7 linked regions of the Oryzias latipes genome follow. The protein of the gene in region 3 interacts with the protein of the main gene of each other region in a biochemical or structural test. Links are inferred from orthologs where the notes say so. Each region holds a gene or a part of one and is shown on either strand. Other genes may lie near its edges. The genes, in order: ppp5c, sugt1, heat shock protein HSP 90-alpha, fkbp4, tert, st13 and stip1.

The links.
Region 1: the proteins of heat shock protein HSP 90-alpha (region 3) and ppp5c form a complex in vitro, tested with the Homo sapiens proteins (4 studies listed by BioGRID, with this or other methods). The link is inferred for Oryzias latipes from reciprocal best matches to the Homo sapiens genes HSP90AA1 and PPP5C.
Region 2: the proteins of heat shock protein HSP 90-alpha (region 3) and sugt1 form a complex in vitro, tested with the Homo sapiens proteins (4 studies listed by BioGRID, with this or other methods). The link is inferred for Oryzias latipes from reciprocal best matches to the Homo sapiens genes HSP90AA1 and SUGT1.
Region 4: the proteins of heat shock protein HSP 90-alpha (region 3) and fkbp4 form a complex in vitro, tested with the Homo sapiens proteins (4 studies listed by BioGRID and IntAct). The link is inferred for Oryzias latipes from reciprocal best matches to the Homo sapiens genes HSP90AA1 and FKBP4.
Region 5: the proteins of heat shock protein HSP 90-alpha (region 3) and tert form a complex in vitro, tested with the Homo sapiens proteins (2 studies listed by BioGRID). The link is inferred for Oryzias latipes from reciprocal best matches to the Homo sapiens genes HSP90AA1 and TERT.
Region 6: the proteins of heat shock protein HSP 90-alpha (region 3) and st13 form a complex in vitro, tested with the Homo sapiens proteins (2 studies listed by BioGRID). The link is inferred for Oryzias latipes from reciprocal best matches to the Homo sapiens genes HSP90AA1 and ST13.
Region 7: the proteins of heat shock protein HSP 90-alpha (region 3) and stip1 form a complex in vitro, tested with the Homo sapiens proteins (9 studies listed by BioGRID). The link is inferred for Oryzias latipes from reciprocal best matches to the Homo sapiens genes HSP90AA1 and STIP1.

The regions. Positions count from the first base shown.
Region 1 is NC_019871.2:3,343,358-3,346,857, forward strand, and holds part of ppp5c (serine/threonine-protein phosphatase 5), read left to right. Parts: coding exon 1-17; intron 18-103; coding exon 104-209; intron 210-296; coding exon 297-439; intron 440-3,500. UniProt on the Homo sapiens protein: Serine/threonine-protein phosphatase that dephosphorylates a myriad of proteins involved in different signaling pathways including the kinases CSNK1E, ASK1/MAP3K5, PRKDC and RAF1, the nuclear receptors NR3C1, PPARG, ESR1 and ESR2, SMAD proteins and TAU/MAPT.
Region 2 is NC_019875.2:17,072,446-17,075,924, reverse strand, and holds the end of sugt1 (protein SGT1 homolog), read right to left. Parts: intron 3,461-3,479; coding exon 3,288-3,460; intron 1,035-3,287; coding exon 933-1,034; 3' UTR 501-932; downstream 1-500. UniProt on the Homo sapiens protein: May play a role in ubiquitination and subsequent proteasomal degradation of target proteins.
Region 3 is NC_019882.2:17,298,760-17,300,872, forward strand, and holds the end of heat shock protein HSP 90-alpha, read left to right. Parts: coding exon 1-178; intron 179-256; coding exon 257-404; intron 405-486; coding exon 487-755; intron 756-834; coding exon 835-1,168; intron 1,169-1,256; coding exon 1,257-1,366; 3' UTR 1,367-1,613; downstream 1,614-2,113. UniProt on the Homo sapiens protein: Molecular chaperone that promotes the maturation, structural maintenance and proper regulation of specific target proteins involved for instance in cell cycle control and signal transduction.
Region 4 is NC_019864.2:19,209,404-19,213,540, reverse strand, and holds the start of fkbp4 (peptidyl-prolyl cis-trans isomerase FKBP4), read right to left. Parts: upstream 2,801-4,137; 5' UTR 2,439-2,800; coding exon 2,346-2,438; intron 1,907-2,345; coding exon 1,762-1,906; intron 1,196-1,761; coding exon 1,053-1,195; intron 786-1,052; coding exon 665-785; intron 120-664; coding exon 1-119. Other genes in the region: ATP-dependent DNA helicase DDX11, read left to right, coding at 3,450-3,578, 3,658-3,873, 3,960-4,046. UniProt on the Homo sapiens protein: Immunophilin protein with PPIase and co-chaperone activities. Component of steroid receptors heterocomplexes through interaction with heat-shock protein 90 (HSP90).
Region 5 is NC_019869.2:25,695,017-25,698,516, forward strand, and holds part of tert (telomerase reverse transcriptase), read right to left. Parts: intron 2,735-3,500; coding exon 2,610-2,734; intron 2,126-2,609; coding exon 1,988-2,125; intron 647-1,987; coding exon 543-646; 3' UTR 535-542; exon of another isoform or gene 1-534. UniProt on the Homo sapiens protein: Telomerase is a ribonucleoprotein enzyme essential for the replication of chromosome termini in most eukaryotes. Active in progenitor and cancer cells. Inactive, or very low activity, in normal somatic cells.
Region 6 is NC_019866.2:19,406,719-19,409,430, reverse strand, and holds the end of st13 (hsc70-interacting protein), read right to left. Parts: coding exon 2,670-2,712; intron 2,602-2,669; coding exon 2,485-2,601; intron 2,409-2,484; coding exon 2,363-2,408; intron 1,409-2,362; coding exon 1,320-1,408; intron 1,113-1,319; coding exon 978-1,112; 3' UTR 501-977; downstream 1-500. UniProt on the Homo sapiens protein: One HIP oligomer binds the ATPase domains of at least two HSC70 molecules dependent on activation of the HSC70 ATPase by HSP40. Stabilizes the ADP state of HSC70 that has a high affinity for substrate protein.
Region 7 is NC_019872.2:19,986,875-19,990,963, forward strand, and holds the start of stip1 (stress-induced-phosphoprotein 1), read right to left. Parts: upstream 2,801-4,089; 5' UTR 2,685-2,800; coding exon 2,676-2,684; intron 90-2,675; coding exon 1-89. UniProt on the Homo sapiens protein: Acts as a co-chaperone for HSP90AA1. Mediates the association of the molecular chaperones HSPA8/HSC70 and HSP90.

The sequences.
Region 1 (3,500 bases), on a different chromosome or scaffold from region 3:
CAGACGCCAACCCTTACGTATCCTTCCGTCACGGCGGCACGTCGTGCCCCAGAGTCGTCAAACGCAGAACTCGTGCGTCATTTTCCTTGACTGCGGCGTTCAGCTGTTCAACGGGGACTTTGTGGACCGCGGCTCCTTCTCCCTCGAGGTCATCCTCACTCTCTTTGGCTTCAAGCTGCTCTACCCCGACAACTTTCACCTACTGAGAGGTGCGTGACGCCTTTGAGCGCCTTCGCGCGCCTTCGCGCGCCTTCGCGCGCCTCCGCTGAACTAAATCAGACATGTACGGTGTTCAGGAAACCACGAGACGGACAACATGAACCAGATGTACGGGTTTGAAGGGGAGGTCAAAGCCAAGTACACGGCGCAGATGTTCCAGCTGTTCAGCGAGGTCTTCCAGTGGCTTCCTCTCGCTCAGTGCATCAACAGCAAAGTGCTGGTGAGTTCACACGGGGGGGGGGTGTTCCTGCAGCAGGACGGGTCCGCCATTTTTAAGGGGGGAAGAGATGAAGGAGAAAAAAAGACACGAATGAGGATCCGAGTGCAAATATTCTCCAGTGCAGTAAAAATATAACTCGAGCACAATATATTTATTGCTGTAAAACGCAGGATATTGTTGGATTTTAAGTTTGTAAACTAAAAAAAAAAAAGCTGAACGTCCAAATATTCTAAAAAAAGTGTCGGGGAAGCTTCCCATTTTCAAACTAAAGCTATTTTTTTGGTAGTGGGGGGGGGGTTCCTGTTTACTGACATAAATTCATAAAAAAACTGAATTTGCTTTAACCCTTTATGTAAATCACTGTGAATCAGCTGATTCTGATTTCTTACAGAAAAGCGTTTTTTATAGCCGCTTTGCGCCCATTAGCTCCGTAAAGTGCTGCATTTTAGAATAGAATAGAATAGAATGGCTTTATTGTCATTGTGCATAGTACAATGAGATTTAAGCATCACCATCAGTGCAAGAACAGTAAGGAAGGGAAAAGTAGTAAAGATAACATTGTAATATAATAAAATCAAACAAGCAAACAAACAGTATATACAAGTGTGCAATATAAGCTGTAAACTGTATTGGAGAGTGCCGAGATAATAGTGCAAAAATTGCGTATGAAAAAACTGTGCGTAGACATGTCAAAGTGCAGAGGTGGCAATGAGGTAGATAGATGACACTGTGGTCAGACTGTGGACAGAGTAAAAGGAATGTTTTTTTTTCTCGTTTTTTTTTTTCCTCTTATCTGTGCATTTGGGAATTGAGGATTGTTATTGCCTTTGGAAAGAAGCTGTTTTTTAGTCTGTTCGTTTTGCTTCTGATGCCTCTGTAGCGCCTCCCGGAGGGCATCAGGTTGAACAGGTCTGAGCCGGGGTGTGAACTGTCCTTAATGATGTTCTGAGCCCTGGTGAGACAGCGCGCGGAGTAGATGTCCGTCAGTGTGGGGAGAGGGCACCCAATGATTTTCTCAGCTGTCTCTACGACTCTCTGCAGTCTCTTTTTATCCGCGGCCGTGCAGCTGCCGAACCAAACAGTTGTGCAGTAAGTGAGCAGGCTCTGGATGGATGACTGGTAGAAGGTCAGCAGCAGGTTGGTTTTAATTTTGTTCTTCCTGAGGACCCTCAGGAAGTGCAGACGCTGCTGAGCCTTCTTGATGATGGCGGTGGTGTTGGCTGTCCAGGAAAGGTCTGCAGAGATGATGATGCCGAGGAACTTGAAGGTGTTTCCTGAAGTCGACTATGATCTCCCTGGTTTTGCTGGTGTTCAGGGTGAGGTTGTTCTCTGAGGACCAGGTTGTCAACTTCAGGACCTCCTCTCTGTAGGCAGACTCCTCCCCCCTGGGAATGAGTCCGACCACCGTGGTGTCGTCGGCAAACTTTATGATGCAGTTGTTGTTGTGGGCTGGACTGCAGTCGTAAGTGTAGAGGCAGTACAGCAGGGGGCTTAGCACACAGCCCTGTGGCGCCCCAATGTTCAGTGTGCGGGTGGAGGAGTGGTAGGGGCCAAGTCTCACAAGTCTCATTTTGATGCAAAGCCGCTTTCCTGCGCGGCAGAATCCGCTGATTCACGGTGATCAGTCCAGCATTTATGATACGTCGTGTGTTTAGACTTAAATATAATGAGAACGTGGATAGAAAACATAATAAATATGAATTTTACACGGTATTGTGATGTCATGTGACTGAAAACGTGGCAGAGAAGTCGCCTGGAGTTATAGGGAGTTTTCTTTTTTTCCTCTTAAGATCAAAACATTTGGTTGCAAAACATGTTTTCTGTTGGCAAAGTTCAAATAAATGGACTGTGAGGGTTTTCTAGTTGTTCCATCTTTACAGTACAGACCAAATGTTTGGACAAACCGTCTCATTCAAAGAGTTTTCTTTATTTTCATGACTATGAAAAAATTGTAGATTCACACTGAAGGCATCACAACTATGAATTAACACAAAAGTGTGAAACAACTGAAAATGTCATATTATAGGTTCTTCATAGTAGCCACCTTTTGCTTTGATTACTGCTTTGCAGACTCTTGGCATTCTCTGGATGATCTTCCAGAGTTAGTCACCTGAAATGGGTTCCAAGGTGTTTCCAGAGATGCTTAGCACTTGTTGGCCCATCACTGTCCATCTTGGTCAAATAGCCCTTACACAGCCTGGAGGTGTGTTTGGGCTCATTGTCCTGTTGAAAAATAAATGATGGTCCAACTAAACGCAAACCGGATGGAATAGCATGCCGCTGTAAGATGGAAAGCACAGATGTCCACTGGTCTCATGTCCATTCCTTGTGTTCTTTAGGCCAAACAAGTCTCTTCTGCTTGTTGGCTTTCTTTAGCAGTGGTTTCCTAGCAGATATTCTACCATGAAGGCCTGATTCACACCTTTTAACAGTTGTTGTAGAGATGTGTCTGCTGCTAGAACTCTGTGTGCCATTGACCTGCTCTCTAATCTGAGCTGCTGTTAACCTGCCATTTCTGAGGCCGGTGACTCGGATGAACTTAGTCGATGAACTTATCCTCAAGGTGACTCTTGGTCTTCCTTTCCTGCGGCGGTCCGTATATGAGCCAGTTTCTTTGTAGCGCTTGATGGTTTTTGTGACTACACTTGGGGACTCTTTCAAAGTTTTCCCAATTCTTTGGACTGACTGACCTTCATTTCTTAAAGTAATGATGGCCGCTCGTTTTTCTGTACTTTTTTCTTGCCGTTATACAAATTCTAACAGTCTATTCAGTTGGACTATCAGCTGTGTATCCACCTGACTTCTGCACAACACAACTGACGGTCCCAACCCCATTTATAAGGCAAGAAATCACACTTGTTAAACCAGACAGGGCACACAAAACCATTTCAGGTGACTACCTCTGGAAGAACCTACAATATGACATATTTTCAGTTGTTTCACACTTTTTTGTTATGTATTTAATTCCACATGTGTTCATTCACAGTTTTGATGCCTTCAGTGTGAATCTACATTTTTCATAGTCATGAAAGTAAAGAAAACTCTTTGAATGAGAAGGTGT
Region 2 (3,479 bases), on a different chromosome or scaffold from region 3:
AAAACCAGTGTGAATCACTAAATTGGCAAACGTAGACCACAATGCATTGCGTTTGAACAATTTTTGTGGAAAAAAAATGTTTTTTTTTTTTACAAGTTTTCATCATGAGAACATATTTCTTCATAAACAGTCTTTATAAAATGTTAATATTTATTAGGTTTTTACTTTGAGGAATCGATGACGTCATCATATTTGCCTCTAAAAAAAGAAAAAGGAGCGAGCATGGTGTCTAAATTACTTTTGAAATCCGGAGCACTAGATAGTAAAACAGAGTCCGATACAGTCAATGGTCATACAGTCATTTCAGTAGCCGTGGGTTTCCTCGAGGCGATCCCACCCGTTAACAAAAATCCCCGGAAATGACTATAAAACACAAGATGAACGTTATGAAGTCAAACGACAAATCTTTCTTTTTAACAAACCTAAAGTCACACTGAGAGAACACCTGACGAGTATTAATGTCGACTGATCAGAAAGAAGAAAAACTCTAAAGTCAGTTGTATTTTTAAAATCCTTTTTATTATTATTAGCAACTTTACATTTGTACACAAGAACTGATATTAGGTGATAAAGGCTGCCAAACAGGAAGGTCTTTTGGAGAAAACAGAAACATAGCGATTCTAAAAGTGATGTTTCAGGCCTATCAGTTACACCTGCTTCCCTTCATGTATGTCGGCCTTTATTCAAAATCAATCGAACCCAGTTAGTGATCAGCTTTTTCAGAGAATAAGCCATCTGTGGTTTGGGAAAGGGAGAGTGGGAACGCTGGCTCCCTGCACTTAGTGAAGAAAAAAAAGAAAAAAAGCACTGACATGAGGAGGAGAGGTGGGCTGTCACGCTCGCAGCAGAGCGTCGGGATTCCCGCCGGAGCTCAGACGAACCAACTTGATGACTTTAAACAGGAGGAGGAAAGCAGAGAGAGCTGCACGCGCTCAGTACTTCCTGTGCTCCACATCGTCGGGTGGACTCGCCTCCACCTTCCTCTTGCCCACATCTTTCCAGTTGGTGCTCAGAACGGTGCCAGCAGACTCCATCTGCACACACGCGCATGAGATTTCATTAAACCTTGATGCATAACTTTCCGTGTGAGCTGACCTTTCTTGTCCTTGAAGGTTTTCTGAACTGATTTTGTCTAATCTTTTAAAGTGTCTTGAGCAGCCGGTCTACAGGCTTTCTGAAGGACTTTATAGTTTCTCCTTTGACTTGGTTTTTTCTGTCCTCTCTTCGCACTTCAGCCTCTTAAAAGGGCTTAAAGAACTTTCCGATTAAAATGATGTTATTGGCGTTTTTGACATGTTCTAGCGGGATCCTTCTGAGGATTATATAAAGAATATAAAGAAAATTTATATAAAGATATATAAAGAAAATGTAAGCTTAATATTACATTTCTGATTATTTCTTTATACAAATACTTGTGAAACAGGAGCAGACAAAAACATGCTGTTGCAAAAAGACCTTATTTGTGACATTGGGTTCCCATTGCGCCAAGCTCTCAGCAACGAGAAGGGGAATGGGGGGTGGGGTTGCTCTGCGTCATCGTCCCCCCTCCCCCCACAACTCTGAGGCAAATTTCTAATGAACTACTGCAGCTCTGTGGAAACTATGTCCTACAAAACTACAGTTTTTTTTTTTATTATTTTGGCTAAAAACGGCATAATCATAATTAAAATTCCACTGGGATCACGTTCAAAACAGATTAAATTATAATCAAGTGGGTCTATAAAATTGTTTTTTGCCAACTATTATATTCTGCATAGACCAAGCACTGAATGGTTCCTTAAAAAAACGGCAGAGCTTTATCTTGAAGGGATTTCAAAAGGATTAAAAGAAAATCTGGGATATTTGCAGGCAAAATAAGCAAAAAGAAAGGTGCTGGTTTGTTTCAAAATGTGAAATTGTATTGAAATGTGCTGCCTCTTGGCCAGGACTCCCTTGGAAAAGTGTTTTTTAATCTCAATGGGACTTTCCTGGTTAAATAAAGGTTAAATAAAAAAAAAATATATAATATTCCATTCCATTAAAAATCTAGTGATCTTCAAGTCAACACAAATACACAAATCCTGCAGCTCTTCACTTCCTCAGAATGCTACAAATGAAAACCAAAGTGGATCACTGTTCATATAAATGATCATTTCTGCAGAAAGCAGCCCAGATCCACCTCCAACACGAGCCGTCAGTTTGAGTGTGGATTCATTTTTTTTGTCTTTTTTTTAAGACTCCGCAGTCCCCATCTCTTCTGCATGGATTCAGATGACATGACTGTGGCAAATCAATATGCGTGTTGCGATAAGTGCAGATGGCTGTTTGGGAGCGGCTGTGGGTCGCCGTCAGTTCAGCGTCCGTCTGTGCCGGTTTGAGGAATGCTCCGCTTTTCGCTCAGATTTATGCAATAGTTGGAGGACGTCGAATGGGTCCCGAATTGAGGCCAAAAATTAGCTTCCTTCGTGAGCGCAAAGCTAACGACGGGGAAACGAGAGATCACTTCAACAATACTTACACTATTGTGAGGTGAAAAGACCAAAGCTGCCTCTATCAAAAGGTCAGCTCTCCATGAAAAGACAAACTCTTTCTTCTTTAACCTAGATGGCACTTGCTGAATCAAATATAGAGTTAGAATCGCTGATGCAAGTGTGAAAAACAATGTTTTTTTTAAAACACACTTGTTAAAACTGTCAGCTTTGACCAGTTTTACATCTTCAGCTTAAAGGAGGAGAGAGTTTCTGTGTTGCAAAGAGGAAATTTTACCAGTGAAATAAAACTGCAGTGTTGTTACGTGCTCACTTGCAGATAATGGAGTTTTGTTTGTTTTCTTGGCGAAATCTGATCCTTCGGCTGACAGAGCAGATCTCAAGCTGTCTGTGTTTCTATGATCTCCTGTTTTTGTATGAGAATGCATACAAACTTAGACTCTTCGCTTTCTCCTCACTCCCTTCCTGTCTGCTCTGTTAAAAAAAAAAAATCACTGCAAAGCGGACAAGAGGGTTTCAGGGAAGACATGTTCAGAAAGAGTGAGACACTATCTTTTTTTTGTTAATACCCAAAAGGTCTGATATTTTATAAAAACACGGTTGACACACCGCCTCCCCTATCTAAGGTGGGAGAAATGGGTATGGGAGGATAACTGAGAGGTGCAGTTCTTTCCTGAAGGCTTTTATTTTGTAAAAGGATTAACTTCTGCTGGACAGAAGATGAAGAACATCCTATTCAGCTTAATTTGACTGCTCTCCAGCAGCAGAGGAGTCTGCAAACGTTAAAAGTCAAATGCCACTTGGAGGAAAAGTACTCACAAATGATTTGTTCATGGCTCGTTTGACCTCGTCCGAGCCGTCCGTGTAAATCTGCTGGAAGAGCTTGTTGAGTGCCGCGTCTCCCTCCAGCTTCTCGTTTTTCTCCTCCTCGCTGATGTCCGACACCATCTTGTCCCACTTGCGGGTGTAGTGTAAGGATGTGGGGTACGGGTCTGACGGAAGACAAGCACA
Region 3 (2,113 bases):
TGTGGTGGACTCTGAAGATCTGCCCCTGAACATCTCCAGAGAGATGCTGCAGCAGAGCAAAATCCTGAAGGTCATCCGTAAGAACCTGGTTAAGAAATGTCTGGAGCTCTTCACAGAGCTGTCTGAGGACAAGGACAACTACAAGAAGTTATATGAACAGTTCTCCAAGAACATCAAGGTAGCTTTGTGACGCCACAAACCTTTCTGAAAGGTGTATTCCAGTTCATTTCCACTAACATACTATGTCCCCCTTTAGCTTGGAATTCACGAAGACTCTCAGAACAGGAAGAAGCTGTCTGAGCTGCTAAGATACTACACCTCAGCCTCTGGAGATGAGATGGTTTCCCTCAAAGACTATGTCACCCGCATGAAGGACAACCAGAAACACATCTACTATATCACTGGTGAGGCCTTGCTCCACCTGCATCTGAGCTGATTCTTCACCTGAGTGTTAGCAGATGATTGACGTCATGTTTTGCGGTTCAGGCGAGACCAAGGACCAGGTGGCCAACTCTGCTTTTGTGGAACGCCTTCGCAAAGCCGGTCTTGAGGTCATCTACATGATCGAGCCCATCGACGAGTACTGTGTCCAGCAGCTGAAGGACTTTGATGGCAAGAACCTGGTTTCAGTCACCAAGGAAGGTCTGGAGCTGCCTGAGGATGAGGAGGAGAAGAAGAAGCAAGAAGAAAAGAAAGCTCAGTTTGAGAACCTTTGCAAGATCATGAAGGACATCCTGGAAAAGAAGGTTGAGAAGGTAAGCAGAAGAACGCTTCTTTGGATGGCGGGGGGGTCTCCTGGTAGGATGCAGTCCTAATGCTTTAGTCCTTCCACAGGTCACAGTGTCCAACCGCCTGGTCTCCTCCCCATGCTGCATCGTCACCAGCACCTACGGCTGGACGGCTAACATGGAGAGGATCATGAAGGCCCAGGCGCTGCGCGACAACTCGACTATGGGATACATGGCTGCTAAGAAGCACCTGGAGATCAACCCCGACCATCCCATCATGGAGACTCTAAGGCAGAAGGCTGAGGCCGACAAGAATGACAAATCGGTGAAGGATCTGGTTATCCTGCTGTTTGAGACCGCCCTGCTGTCTTCAGGATTCACCCTGGAGGACCCTCAAACACATGCTAACCGCATCTACAGGATGATCAAACTGGGTCTTGGTAAGGAGTCCATCAAAAAGTTCAATATTTGAGTTTGTGTTTTATATCCTGATAGATTTTTAACTAATATTTTTCATTTTTACTGCAGGCATTGATGAGGACGACACACCGGTAGAAGAAACCACTTCTGCTCCCACTGAGGACATGCCGCCTCTGGAAGGCGACGACGACGCGTCCAGAATGGAGGAGGTGGACTGATCGGTCGGCTGCAGTGTTGAGATAGTTCCATGTACAGTTCAAATGTTAAAACGAGTTGTCATCATTTCTTTCCTTATTCCTCACGTGTTTGCATTTGCTCATTCAGAGCTGTTCTGAAACTCTTTATTCTTCAGATGTAACAATGTAATTGTTTTTGTATTTATTGACATTCTAATGTTGCTCTAATTTGTAAATATTACTGGAGGTTGGAATACCAGAGCACAGAAATAAAACTCTAAAGCAAAAACGTTTTGTTCTGGGGTTCTTTTCAAATACAAGAGATTTTTGGAAGGGAGACGTATTGATGCTTTTATTGTGAAGGGGAAATTGGGAAAGGAAGTAATTGGAAGGTTGAATGAATGCTGCCAATAATTAGATAAAGATCTAACAAAAATAAGAAACTTGAAGTGACTGGTTATCAGTTTTCTAAGTTATGAGACTTCAAACAAACCTATTTTTATTGGATCTTTAATTGTAATTACAATTGCATGACATGCAAACACTGGAAGTGTTAAGAGAAACACTTGAAATGCTGCAAAAGTCCAAAGTCCTCACAACATAAATAGTACAATATTGCCATCTAATTATCACTAATTTTGTTTGTCCTAACCTTTTGATATAAGGGTAACAGCAAATCTATAAACAGAGCTATCAGGTTTTTTTTAAGAAAACAAGGACCGAATCATGTTTTAGGCGTTTCCTGCTGGTCTTCCAGAAATCCTGCCTGATCTTCACCTGGAACAGGTG
Region 4 (4,137 bases), on a different chromosome or scaffold from region 3:
CATGGCCATGATAGCCTTCTCCAACCCAGCTGGCAAGTTAAAACTTTCTCCATCTCCAATCTCAAATTTCAGTTCTCTCTCGTCAAAAATGCGTTCATCATGAGTACCCTGCACAGTGACTGAGAGGGGATAGAAGTGTGCAGGTCAGGTGGGGTCACTCTCATAGGTTTACTGTGTGACCGACTTGTGTAAAGCTTTGGGAATGATGGGTAAACACATCTCATTTTTCTGTGACATTGCTGTTAATGTTTTCTGAATGGGACTAGATTGAACACAGAAATAATTAAAAATACAAATTAATTGAAGATAACTACGTTCAATATTTAACATAAGAAAGGAGTTCACTATATAGTAAAAACTTTGTGAGACAACTGAGTAATGCAGCAAATATGGGATTTAAGTAAAACGTGACCTCAAAAACTATTCTAATTGGATATCATTGTATTTATTGGAATTTCACAGAAAAAATATTGTTTTAAATGCAACTGTTTGCTTTTAGCCAGTTAAAATTTGTATAAGATTAACTCACTATGGTACTAGTCCTAATACAGTTTCCAGTATTTAATCAAACTTTCAATAAATACAGATCAAGATCAAGTTCAATTTAGGTGTACAATGTTATATTAATCAGAAAAGAGGAAAAAAACAATTCAGATGGATGTACCTTCAACAGTAGCCCCTTCATTTGGCTTTGAATATCCCTCCCCCTTAGTGATAATACGTCGAATGATTCCTCCATCTTCATCCTCTGTTATATCTTCTCCTCGAAAATCAAACAGTTCAACCTAAAAGAGAGTAGAAAAAAATAATCTCAATGATTAATACATACCCTTGAGTTCTCTGTTTTTCTAACACTATGCAAGATCATTTTGGAGATTATTACCACTGAATACCTGACAGAATTTGAAAAAGTATTTACTGGCTTTTAATTTATTTTAGTCATTACAGTAGATTTAAACGCCCCAATATTTTTGAATGTTTCCAGCAGACGTGTACATTTATGTGGCTTGTCTCTAATGCAATACCAGAACTCTATGCATACAAAAACTTACCTCAAAAACAAGAGTGGAATTTGGGGGTATCTTGGGTGGGCTGCCTGCAGATCCATAAGCATACTCTGGCTTGCAGACAAGTTGGCACAACTCTCCTACTTTCATTGTGGCCACACCAATGTCCCATGCTTTTATTACTTGACCTGAATAAAGTTAGATGATACAGTCTGAACTATTTGCACAATAGCAATAGGCAAGTATTCACTACCTGGTCCAAAACAAATTCAAAAATGCACTGATGTGACGTGATGTGATGTACAGTTGTTAGCAACAAATCATTTAACCTTAGTTGATGAATTGTCCAGCTTTTATCTCCAGAAATAACAATGGTTAAAGTCCTCCTATTCTAGATTAACAGTTAAGGAGTCACCAGTACCTAATGAGTGGGGCGACAGATACATCCAACAAGTTAAGTGTATATTATGTTCATTAGTTTGGATTCTGGATTACTAAAGTAAATCTGATTTCAGCAAAATGTCACACATTCCCAATCAAAAATGATTAAATTAAGGAATACATTTTTTGCAGCAAAAACAACATTGTCAACCCCCATGATGGTATGTAAATATTATGTATGCGCTAAAAAGAGGCTTTCTGAGCAAGCAAATACAGTAAAATAATCATAGAATAGAGTTTGCCCAACAACACATGATACTGAAACTTATTTTTATTTATTTTTTTGCAGCCAGGTAGAAGATTAGAAACCAACCTTTGCCCAACTCAAAGGAAAACTTTTCTCCTCTGTCTCTGCTCGAGTCAAAGTGTGTCCCATCCAAGAGCGTCCCCACATAATGGACAAACACTTTGTCACCAGTCATGGGGAGTTCAGTCCCTGTACCTTCCCTCTTAATAACCTGCGAAAACAAAAGCAAATCTCCATGAATGCAGCTGTAAATTTGTTTTAATCCTCATTTATTGAAATACAGTGGGCTCGCAAATCTTAACAATTAAATCTGGTGGGCTTAGTGTTCTGGTTGTGCATATAATCTACCATTTAATTCTATAAAACAGCTCATGGCTCCAGACCTTTCTAGAACTGGATTAGGTTGCATGATCGATATAATTGATAACCTAACAATAAATTCCCAGAAAAACCATCAAACAAAAACTTCTGCGAATAAACTTAAGATAAATGTTTACTGTGCTCTCACTGACCATGAACATTCACTAACTGATTGCAGAAAATATGTTTGAACTCAAACGTTAATAAATAGGCTAACGTTAGCTTAGCCAAAAGCGCCTGCTAACCTAGCAATATGCTTCAGTTAAGATCTTTATTACAAACCCGTTTACCTTTAGAACACCCCCATCTTTCTTTGGTGTGATGTCTTCCCCTTCCAGCGGGATCGCGTGCTGTCCTTCGTTTGACTGCTCCTCTGCGGTCATTTTTAGACAAATGTCGGACTTGCAGCAAAACCTGAGACCACTGACTGACACTAGTTAGTAGCAACGGTGGCTACAGCTACGGTTACTTCAAACCACGCCAAGTGCACAAACAAGGAGCCGACTATCAACAAATTAATGTCAAGCTAACATGCGTCGCTCAAACTCTTAGCTTTCTAGCTAATATTAAACTATACACGTTTCCGTGTGAAACTGAAAGCAACCAAACCTGCTACCACTAATCAAACGTATCAAACTAGCTGACTGGACTTGAGCGGGGATGCTTTCCGTTAACGTTGTCTGGCAGTACGGGTTCTGACAAGCGTTTTAGAAGGGCAGAGAACTTTCCAGACAGTATGAGAGAAGGGGGAGGGACGCTCGCTGGGGTTGTTCTATTTCACACGGGTACATTCCACAAAGGCGGTGCTAAAATTGGGGCATAGGAAAATCCATGTTGTTGCACTCTGACATAAATAAAGTTATCGCAATTCAAAAGCATTTTGTAATTTGCGAAATAAAGTGTTGAGACAGGACAATGTTTGGAAATTACTAGAGTAGCTCCGACCACAAATGTAGTCCAACGAGTTAAATATAGCCTCCCCTTTTCAGCTCGCCTCCTATTGGCCAGAGTCTGTGACCACTTCTGTTTATTGGCGCGTAGTTGAAAGTGTAGCTTTGAGAGCAGATAGGTAGCATTATACGGTAAGTACACTCCATTTAAGTACTAGTTTTATATTTTAACTTTTTTAAGTAAAATTTAAAACATTAATGTCGTTATATTAACTGTGTGTGAAGTTTATTTGTTGTCGCTGTAGCTTCCAGGTTTGTTGAAGTTAGCTGCTTGTACATGATCCACATAAGCTTTTAGTTTTAGTACCGGTAATCAATATAAAACTACTCAGTTTAGAAAGATTTACTACAACATTTTCAGTTTTATATTTCGAGTTGCCTGTATTGAATGTTGTCATTGATCGTATCTGACCATTGTTATGATCCTCAGAGAACATTAGGAGCATGGAAAAGGGCAGGGACACATTTCCATTCCCCTACCAGCCTTATGATATTCAGGAGCAGTTTATGCAAGCCCTCTACAGAGCACTCGACCAAAGCAAAGTTGGCATCTTCGAAAGTCCAACTGGAACGGTATGTGAAACAACAATCTCAACGAGCTCAATTTACCTAAAAACTTCAGTTTAGATTCATGGAAATGCTGTTGATCTAGGGCAAGTCACTGAGCCTGATATGTGGAGCTTTGAGCTGGTTGAGAGATCATGAAGAGAAGACGATACAGGAGGCCGCTGCTCTGCTGCAGGAAGGAGAAGCAGCTCTCTCCACCTCAGCTGCACAGTCCTCCTCCACCAGCTCCTCGGCAGAGCCAGACTGGATCACTGACTTTGTTCAAAAGAAGGCTGAGCGAGACCTGGTGTCCAAACTGAAGGTGAACAAGAGAAATGCACTTTTTAAATGTAGATTTCCGATTAAAATCTACAAACCTGCTGACTGTAACTCTTGCTTTTATAATAGGAGGAAGACTTAAAGAGGAAGAAGAGAGAAGAACGGTTAGAAATGATCAGAAATAATGCTCAGCTTAAGTATGCTCTTAAAAGGAAGGTAAGCTATATTTACAGAAGCACTTTGGTCACAGGCTGTTTCATTCTTTAAAGACCCACTCCAATCAAGATTTCTCTTATTTTCCTCATCT
Region 5 (3,500 bases), on a different chromosome or scaffold from region 3:
CTCAAACATCAGGGTTTTTTATTTCACTTGGCTGCACTTTGTTTGTGTACTTGTGACAGTAAAAGAAATCCCTGGAGGCTGATGACGTTTCCGTGCACATATTTACAGACAAGTTATTTTTAAAGCCTAACCATATCTTCTTTGTGGAAAACTACCGCAGCGAGTGAATCAAAGTCCAGAGATACAGGCGTCTGAGGAATGAGCCAGGCTCCATGTCAGAAGCTGGATTCTTCTCAAGTTTTTCATTCATCAACTTGAGCTTGTTTTACGACACCGGTTTATCACCGGGTTTTATCGCTTAAGTGGTTTTTAAGAGATGACCAAAACATATTTACTGTGCTTTACAGAACACGTAAGATTCCATTTGCTCGTTTAAACAAAAGCCTTGAATGTTCATCATGTCAATCTGAGAGAAAAATTACAACGTTTTGCTTCCATTTTCTTTTCTTTTAATCACTTTAACAAAATAAATCCTCATGTGAAAGCCATGCTGTCAAACTGCCCACACATTTCCGTTCCTGTGGCTGCTTTTACCTGTGGACTCACATCTGCATAGCCAGGAAGTCCAGCAGAGCCCGGGGGTTGGCGGCCTGCCGGACCCTAGCCAGCCTCAGGTCTCCCAGAAGCCTCTCCAACCGGCGCTTCCCTGTCCAGAGGGTGAAAGCAGATATTGAGATATTACAGTTCATCTCCGAACTGTAAAATCCACCCATCTGAGCTGTAAAATCCCATAACAGCTGGTTATAAAACTGCTAAATACACCTGAAAACATTCAGATTGGCCAGCGTGGATACAGCCATCACAGCATCCACCTTTAAGAGAAGATGTATTCCAGGAAAGTTCCTGTGTTTTCATGTTTGGTCTTTCTGTAACAGCCGTGCTGCAGTTCTGACCATAAAAACCCAACGCCAGAGTTCATGCTCGACTGCATCACGGATATTCCTGTACGCCTCTCAGCTGATGCCACCTTCAGGCAAAACCCAGCCTCATCCAGGAGATTTCAGATTCTCCATCAGCTCAGCAAACCTCTCTGTCTCCTGAGGACAGATGTTTTATGAAGAAACAAGTTCAGTAAACAGAGTCCTGATCCATTCTCAGCGAGCAGCTTTGTCATGATATTCATCAATAGTGCCAAAGCTTCTAAACCCACATTCAGAGAAAAGAAATGTTCTAAAAGAATCCTCCTGAATTCAAACACGGGATTGAATAAAGAACTCAAAGATCCCCTCTAATCGTCTCTTCATCTATTGTTAAAGCGTTCCCAGTGGTCTTTAAATCGTGATTGTCATTTTTGGACAAAATTTTTTAAAAGCCGAGTCATTTTCTAGGACATAGTTTCTGCAGAGCAGCAGCAGTTCTTTAGAAATTCACCCACCTCTGAGTTGTGCACAGAGCAAGCCCACCCCCTTCCTCTCCCATTGCTGAGAGCTCTTTGTTTACACGCTCACCTGCTGGCTTACAGCCTCTCTCACCCCCAACCTAACATTAGCAGGGCACCAAACGTGTTAAGCAGTATCAGATCTATCCAGTCGTACAGTTTAGATCCAGATCAGCTCAGACCAGGAAAACAAAGACAAACATGGATCTGTTGGTCTGACAGAGGATGATCAGAATGGAGCAGAGCAGGAAGCTTGAGGCTGCCCAGCGTATTTTCTTCTTCACAAATATGGTCTTTTTTAAACGACATTTTTTATCTGCTCCTGGTTTAATGCAATCTGAATAAAGAAATACTCAGAACTACATTTTTGACCTTCATCTTCTTAACATATGTCCTCCATCATCAGAAAAACGGTTCAAGAGCAGTGAAAGCCTTTGGCTGATCAAACCTTTGAAAGGTCAAAATGATCTGCTAAAATTCTCAAAACGCTGCCAAGTTTTGTCTTCTGCATATTCAGCTGATGATTTGAAGTGTTAAAAGTCTTAGAATATTTCGTTCAGGTGTTGAGTGACTTTCATTTTTATACTTAGTGCTTGGTGGAACACCCACATTTGTGCAGGCGTGGCAGCAGGTCTTTGTAGACGGGTCGGTGTTTAGACAGAACCCGCAGGAAGGCCAGACAGAAGAGCAGCTCCACGGCCTCGTACTGAACGCTGCCCTTCTGAGCTCCATCCCCCAAAACCAACCCTGGAGGAGAGAGGGGAAGCTGAGCACACAACCTGGCAGAGGAGACAGGGCTCCAACCTTCTGTTCGGGGTTTCTCTGAGCCATAAAAGACAAAAACACTAAACTGATCCACATCTTAATAGGTGAAGCTGTGATGCAACACTGACGTTCTGGTTTGCAGTCACACTTATTGTCGAAGCACCAGGAGATCTAAGGATCTTAACGGCTTCTTCTTGGTTCTTCAAACCAAAGGTTTGGTGGTTTGTTCCAGGCTTTTCTGAACCTCCCTGTGATCATAGTCATGGTGGAGAGTCTGGAATCTGACTGACTGCTTGAGTTCAAGTGAGCCTGAGATGAGAAACTCACCTGGATTCACTCATCTTCCTCCGCTCTGCATGGGTTTTTCTAGATTTGCTGTTTCTTGTTTTATTATTCTAACAAACCAACCATTAAAATGACTAACAGACCGTTTCTTTGAGCTGGAAAAGAGAATAAAGTAAAGTACCTGTGTTGCTGCGCCTGATGAGAGCGTTGGCATAGTGCGCCATGTCCCAGATCATCTGCTGGAAGTACGTTGGGTTCTTTGCGACCGTCTGGGCGAAGGGTAAACTCTGAACACAGACATGGAACCTGGACAGAGCGGACACAGAGGAGGCTGCAGGTCTGCAGACCAAAGGCTGAAACACCTGCATGTTCTGAGACGCTAAACACCAAAAGACTTTATTTGAACAAAGGATTGGACTTTGAAAAAGTCTTTAAATGAGCAAAAGAGAGACATAAACAGTTTTAAAGTCCGATCCCATCTATTTTCAGAGCGTTCCCAGTGGTCTTTTAGTTAGGATGACGCCACTTTTAGCCAAAATCAAACATTTCTGTTGTTTTCTAGGACATAGTTTCTGCAGAGCAGCAGGAATTCAGTAGAAATTCACCTCTGATTTGTGGACGGGACCGTTGGCATAAAGCAACCACACCCTCCCTTCCCCTCCCCTCCCCTCCCTGCTGCTGAGAGCTCTCTGTTTTCACACTGCTACCTTCCAGCACATCAAAATTCCAACCTAACATTACTGTGAAACAAAAATGGTGATCAACATCGTAGCTATCCAGCCATTCAATTCTGATCCAGATACCAGCTCAGACCAGGAAAACAAAGACGTTCATGGATCCGTTTGTCTGATGGTGGACGATCAGAATGGAGAAGGAAGACTTTGGACCACCGATTGTAGATTACTAGAACTTATTTTGTTACAACTAGAAGCTGTTTCAAAGGCATTTTTCATCTGCTCCTTATTCACAATGATTTGAATAAAGAAATACTGACAAGTGCAATTTTGAGCTTAATCTACTCTATATACACTATTTTACCAAAAGTATTGGCTCATCCATCCAAATGATCAGG
Region 6 (2,712 bases), on a different chromosome or scaffold from region 3:
CATGACAGAATACTTCCTAAAGACCCACTCTGATGAAAATCTTGTTTTCTGGTGTTTTCAACGTGCTCTAGTGCCTTTTTCTGATGAAGGGCATAAAAGAAAACTAAGCTCAAATTTACGTTCCAAAAATAACCTGCGATTAAAAAAAAAAAAAAGATTCCAATGAAAAATATCCACACAGACTGAAACGTAAACTGCGATAGTCAATGAGCGGTAATTCTATATTCAGATGAAAAAAAGAGCTTTGTGATGAGATTCATGTGGTGGGCAACAAGCGCCCCGCTTTACAACGGGGAGGGGATGGGGCGGGTTTGCTCCATGCCAACACTCCCGCCCACAACTCGGAGGTAAATTTCTAATGAACTGCTGCTGCTCTGCAGAAGCTGGCATGGATTAGGCATCATGAAAAGTTTTCACTTTAATAGAAGACAACCGTTAAAAGCTAGGGAATTTGACAGTTAAAGTACATTTATCAGTGCAAGTAGAAAAGAGGATTAAAGCTGTTTTCCATCAACATTTTTATTGTGAACTTTTCAACAGGAATATTAAAGTTATTTGCAGTTAGCCTTTCACAACAGCATGTACCAGCACCCACGCTTTGGAGTGCGGCCTCACAACCAGGAATTTCCTACTGAGTGTAGAATGGCTCTAGAAAGAGGCGTTGGTTCCATGCAGGAACTGTCCGAGCTGCTGTCGCAGGTTAAATCACAGCCGCGACCCATCAGAGAGGAGGGAGGGGCTTAGCTAAATACCAGGACTGACCCATAACCATCTGTTTGATTTGTTGATGTTGCTAACAAACTGAGGAAGATTTAAAAAAAAAAAAGAAACCAGTGAAAAACACTTTCCATCTTTCTGTTACATTTGCATCACTTTGACCTGCTCCCCTGATAGAACTAAACACACTGAGAAAATGTTGAAAAGCTTAATTTCACTCGCTCCTCCAAACATCATCTCCGTTTTGGTCCAGTCCACTTCTATGGCTGGGGGGGGGCTCCGAACTTGGAACTCAGCTTGGAAGCGAGAGCCATGATTTTGGGGTTGTTCTGATACTTGGAGATGTTTGCCGGATTCTGAGCCACATCCTGGAAGGCGGCCATCACCTCAGGGTCCTGGAGTCAGAAAGAAGTCAACCTCACTGGAGTGTTTCAGGAGTCACAAAAACTGAGCAGAAAACAGCTGCAGTTTTAATTTTCTCAGACTCTCCGTCAGTGTATTTTTAATACAAAGTTTAAATTGTGTTTCCTGTGTTTTGCACATTTATGGAACTAAGGCTTTTCCTTGGGGGAATGTGATAGAATTGGTTCATCTTAAGTTACCTTCATGGCGTTGAGCACCTCAGGATCCTTCAGGAGGTCACCAAGACCGGGCATACCTGCTGGACCTCCGCCTGGGAATCCGGCAGCACCTGGAACATCAAGGAGATTTAAATACTCCAGCACAGTTACGTCCAATCGACTGGATTGTAGGATGGAGGAGGAGCCTATCCACTGGATTGAAGAGGCTTGTAAGAATGGCAAAGATGTTGAATCGCTTTTGATTTTCAAAGGAATCACAGTGAGAGCATCAGGCGTGCAGAAAAACACGGCCACTGCATGACATTACTTCTAATTTACAGATATAGACTGGCAAAACCAACAACTGAACGCCGTTTAACACCATTCTACCTAAATAATAATCAATCGTTATAGTAATTTTCCCGATATTTATTTAATAAATGTCCTACCTAACCGTATTCGTTTTCCTTGTTTGATCATTCAGAAATCATAGCCAAATAAAATCCAAATAATGATCGCTTTGTGCAATGGGTTTGAGGTTTGAGCTGCTAAAGTTAAAGTTGCTTGAATTTCAGTCTTCACAAAATCATTGAAAACAGAGAAATGAAGGACAAATTCAGCTCGTCGTACAATAAAGTAAAACCAATTACTGTTACTACCCTTAAAATATCCCTTAATACAACAACTAAAATTTGCCTTAAAATATGTGCAAATAAATTCAGCCTAAATATAAACCGTTAGAATAATATCTGCTCAAATGAAACGTCGATATTTTCAATAGAACCTGAAATATTTGAGGATTACTTAAATTTGTATTTTGATTTGTGAATGACAGAGCGGAAACAGTTAGGTAGGACATTTAACATAAATATAACATTTTCCATTACGATAAGTAAGTTGTATCATTTAAGTAGAATGGTCAGTTTTCCTGGTCTATATCTGTAAACCGGAGGTAACATTACACAATGGCGGAGATATAGTGTTTTATGATGAGGTCATCCAATGTTTCACTTTTAAATGAGATTATCCTATTAGTTAATGTGAGATCAGAAATGACAGCATGCAGGACGGACAGGTAATCTGACCTGGGAAACCTCCTGCTCCGGCTCCAAAATGTCGGGATTCCTCTTCCTGCAGAAACACAGAAAAGGCAGTGAGGGGCGGACCTTTTCCCTCCAAAAGCGAAGAGGAATCCAGAAGAGCTCACCCTCTGAGCACGGGCGTGCTCCTCTCTGGCCTTCTTTATGCGCTCCTGCCGGTCCTTGATCTCCCTCTCCTCCCTCTTGCGCTCATATTTGCGCCTGTGCTCGATGATTTTGTTCGCCTGTCAAAATAATCTTTCAGACTTCGGTCTCTCTCTGCTGTCTTTGAATGCTTTCATAGAGCTGATACCTTCGGCTGGACCTCCTTCAGCATTGCACTGGCGTCCTCGTCA
Region 7 (4,089 bases), on a different chromosome or scaffold from region 3:
AGAGCCAAGGCCTCCGTGTAGCAACGCACAGCTTCATCGATATTCCCTGCACTCAGGGCTTTGTTGCCCTGCTCCTTCAATGCTGAAATCTAGAAAAACATCAAAACCCAACATGCTTATTAGCACCAGATCAAAGTTTGCATACAAAAAATGCCATATAGAGGAGCTGAAAAACAGCCTAAGAACTGATCATGAAAAAACAAACAATAAGACCACAATGAATGGAGAATTTCTCCTTCATCTGTACAGACGAAATTTATCCACACCATAAAGAGAAACTCCAGAAACAGTTTAAACATCCATAACAGGGGCAAATGAGAGTAAAAGAGGCACAAATAAACAAAATTGCCCACTTAAAAATGTAAAAAAGCTATGAACATTGACGTTTGTGATGAGGGTATATTCAGTCTCCTAAGCATTGGGTTGCCTTGCCTTAAGGAGCAGATTAACCTGCTCTCTTAGTAATGCATTTCAGATTAAGGAAAGGCTTTTGGAAAAATATTAAATGTGAAACCAAGTCCAATTGACTGCTTTTTTATCAACCTACTTCTTTGATAGTTATACAAAAGGTTGTTCTCGTCACCAGAAGATACTACGTTTGAATGAAAATGTAAAAAAAATAACAACATTAAATCGATACTTTGTGAGATATAATGATTCCTGGTCCAACACATTAAGCTTGTAATGTAAAAGAAGTTTGCATTCCTCCACACACTGCACTTAATCCAATAAAACCCAATTGGGTAACTTGTGTCTTTTCTTTCGTTTCTGTTATCAGAGTTAAAATTGAAAAAACACATAAAGCTTCACACCAGCTCGCAGTCGAAGCTGTTCCCAACACCTTTGATAATAAATTAAACATTTGAAAAAATGGCCAGATTTTGCTTTAATTTCTAAATGGACTCAAAGATCTGTTCATAAACTAAATTTCATTACTTCAGACTGAAGTGAGAAGTCTGTCCAAAGAAACAATACATTTAATAAACGGCACAAATAGAGATGAGTAAATTCAAACTTTGGTAATTCATCGCACTGAAAAGGAAGAGAACATATCACTTGCAATGGTCCATTTCCATCTTTTCTAAAGTAAAGAGTACAGTCAGTTGTCATGCAGGTGTGATGGCTCTATGAAATTCATTCTTGTCAAAAAAAAGAAGAAGAAAAAAAAAACAAATTTTCACAACTTTACACTATTCTTCAGACCAAGTTCAATATAAGAGCTTTAAAATACAATTAGAACAGATTTGAAAACTTCTTTTTAGTCTATTTAATGAAAGTAGTGGATGTTGAAAACGTCAAATATGACTTTTTCAATGGGGGGTCATCCAAGAAGAGAAAGAAGTATTTTCTGAGCAGGTCAACTAAAATGAGTATGTCCCCAAGTTTTGTGAATAAACAACCAATGTTTGTGCCTGTTTGTCTCCTTTGATCAAATTTCACATTTAAAGTTTATGATCATTAATTTATCAATGCAATCTTTATAAGATGAAATTGAGAGGACTCATATTTCTATATTTGTGGGTTGATAACAAAAGTTTAAATACAGCTTAAGACCCATTACATCACATGTAATTACCTTTTGTAAAGTATTAATTACACGTGTGAATTCAAAGCTTACTGTTAAAAGACCCTTTAGGATTTAAATCATTTTCAGTTTTACAGACTAATTAAGTCACAACATGTAATTACAGCCAGATCACCACAGATTAGGGGATTAACATTAGTTGATCCCATGAACAACAAACGCTGGATATTAAGAAAATATAATTTTTACATGATTAGCATACATATACATATAGTTGCTAACGCTGTTGCCAGTAAATATTATTGCAATATTTATCACTAAATATTTGCGACAGGTTTGGAGAAAACGAGACTTTAAATTTTTTTTAGAGAGACGTTCAAATTGGGACCAAAATACTACAATTTAAAAACCGGAAAAATGCGCGACAATTTCCGACGACATGCGGCTGTAGCCATGGCAGCAGCGACCTGTGCATCTAGAATGATCCTCCGGTGTGAGAGCAGGCTACTTAAACATATACAGCCGATCGAAAAGTACTTAAGCGCTGTGTGCCACACTAGAACGAGAGCATATAAACTAGCAATCTCTAATACATACAAAAATATACAACTAGTTGCATTATGAACGTAATTTAAATCGTTATTTCGTACTTGCAATGTCAAAGATTTGCGAACTAGTCTGAAGCTACGAGGGTTAAGGATAAGCATGGGCAAAGACAGAAAAGAAATGAACCAATATGTATATACATTTTTTTTATAAATCAAACACGTTTAGTTCAAATTAGTGGAGTTTCAGTAGAATTTTCGTATCATGGCTAATTAGCTTAACTGGACACACATGCGTTGTTACCTGGAAATATCGCAAGACTATTTGGACTTTAACATAAAATGAAAATGTTTTACGGAAAACTCAAAGCTCAGCTACACCTTCCATTCTAAGTGACCACATTGAATGACGGTTAGCTAACATTAAGCTAGCTCGATGCATTAGCAAAGTGAATCTCTTCAAGCTAAGGATTAAAACTAAGACAATTTTTTTAACTACGATTTTTAAGAAAACTCGTTTCATCTCAACATTGCACAATTCTTTAAAAACCCATTTTAAATGTTTGTTTTGAAAGAAGAAGAAAATGCGATTACACGAGACTTACTTTCTCCATGATACAAGCATGAGGTACGTTCCAGAAACTACTGCGGACTAGCGCCTCCCCCTGAACACGTGCGGGTTGCCAGATTGTTGTAGAAGATCCGCAAACAGCGACGAACTCGCGTGGAGCCTCTGACGAGCAATATATAGCCTCCTGACTGAAACTTCCAGAAGATGAATTGGGAAAAAAACTCTCAAAACCCAGCCCTTGAAGTTTTACTCTCCTCTATGCCTAATGTAAAAGCTCAAATTGAAGATACAAGCGCATTCACTTACAAGAGTAAGAACAGAAGTCTGAAAAAAGGTTAAATTAAGCGTTTATATTTTGAGCAACACCAGCATCCACGTAACTATAATATTGAAGAGAAACTCATACTTTTAAATGTCATCACATATTTAAGGGTGTTGACAAGGTTAACATTTTTAAAATTTAAAACATACATGTTTAAATACAATAAATATTCATCAGTTTTACTTTGCTAATATTTTAACATTAATACGGAAATTTCCTTTGTATAAACAAAAATGCATTGTAGTGCTTTTTGGTCACTTTGGTAAAATATTGTGTAACATCAATACGTTATTTTCTAATGAATCACTAGAAAAAAACATTTAGGTAAAAAATATTTTCTTGAACAAAATATGTGTCAAACATTGTCACATTAAATTAAAAAAATGAATGAAACATAAATAAAAATCCAATAGAGGTTTTTTTAGCATTCATTTATTAGAATAAAACTCAAACAAAGGACAACATGATATAAATTTAGTATAATGGAACAGAATGGAGTAGAACCTTACTGAATAAATTAATATTTTAGTGTAACAAATTCACAAGTATCCAAGGTGAAGAAGAAAAAACAATGAACAAACAAATAAAATATAATAAATTGATTACAGAAAAGGGGTTTATTTAACACTCTTTGCCACCAAAAGAAACGTACCAAATAGAGGATGTAACACGTGGTATTGTATTTCACAAAAAAGGCAAATTGTAATGTGAATAGAGTGTGAAAAGGTTACATGTGGCTTGATCACCCAAATCTTTTTTTTCTTCTCACACATTGTAGGATAAATAGTGATGTATTGACAAGTATTGTAGATAGATGGACAGTTTCTTCAACTGATAACATGCAGGTGGTGTAAGAGGTGGTTCAGTCTGTGTTATTGGGGTATTATTAACTGGTGTATTCAGTAATACAAGCGATACTAACCATATCATTTATGCAAACGAGCAACTCAGATCGACAGATAATGAATTTGGTAAAAGCTCGATAACACAAACGAGCCAGTAATGAGCGCGTGCGCGCTCCCGCGTGAGGGGTTGAGGTCTCGTGAGGTTAGCACTGTAACACGTTCTGGTTAAACGGGGATTGCTCTGTCCACCCACAACGGTCAGAATTTATTTATCTCGAGCT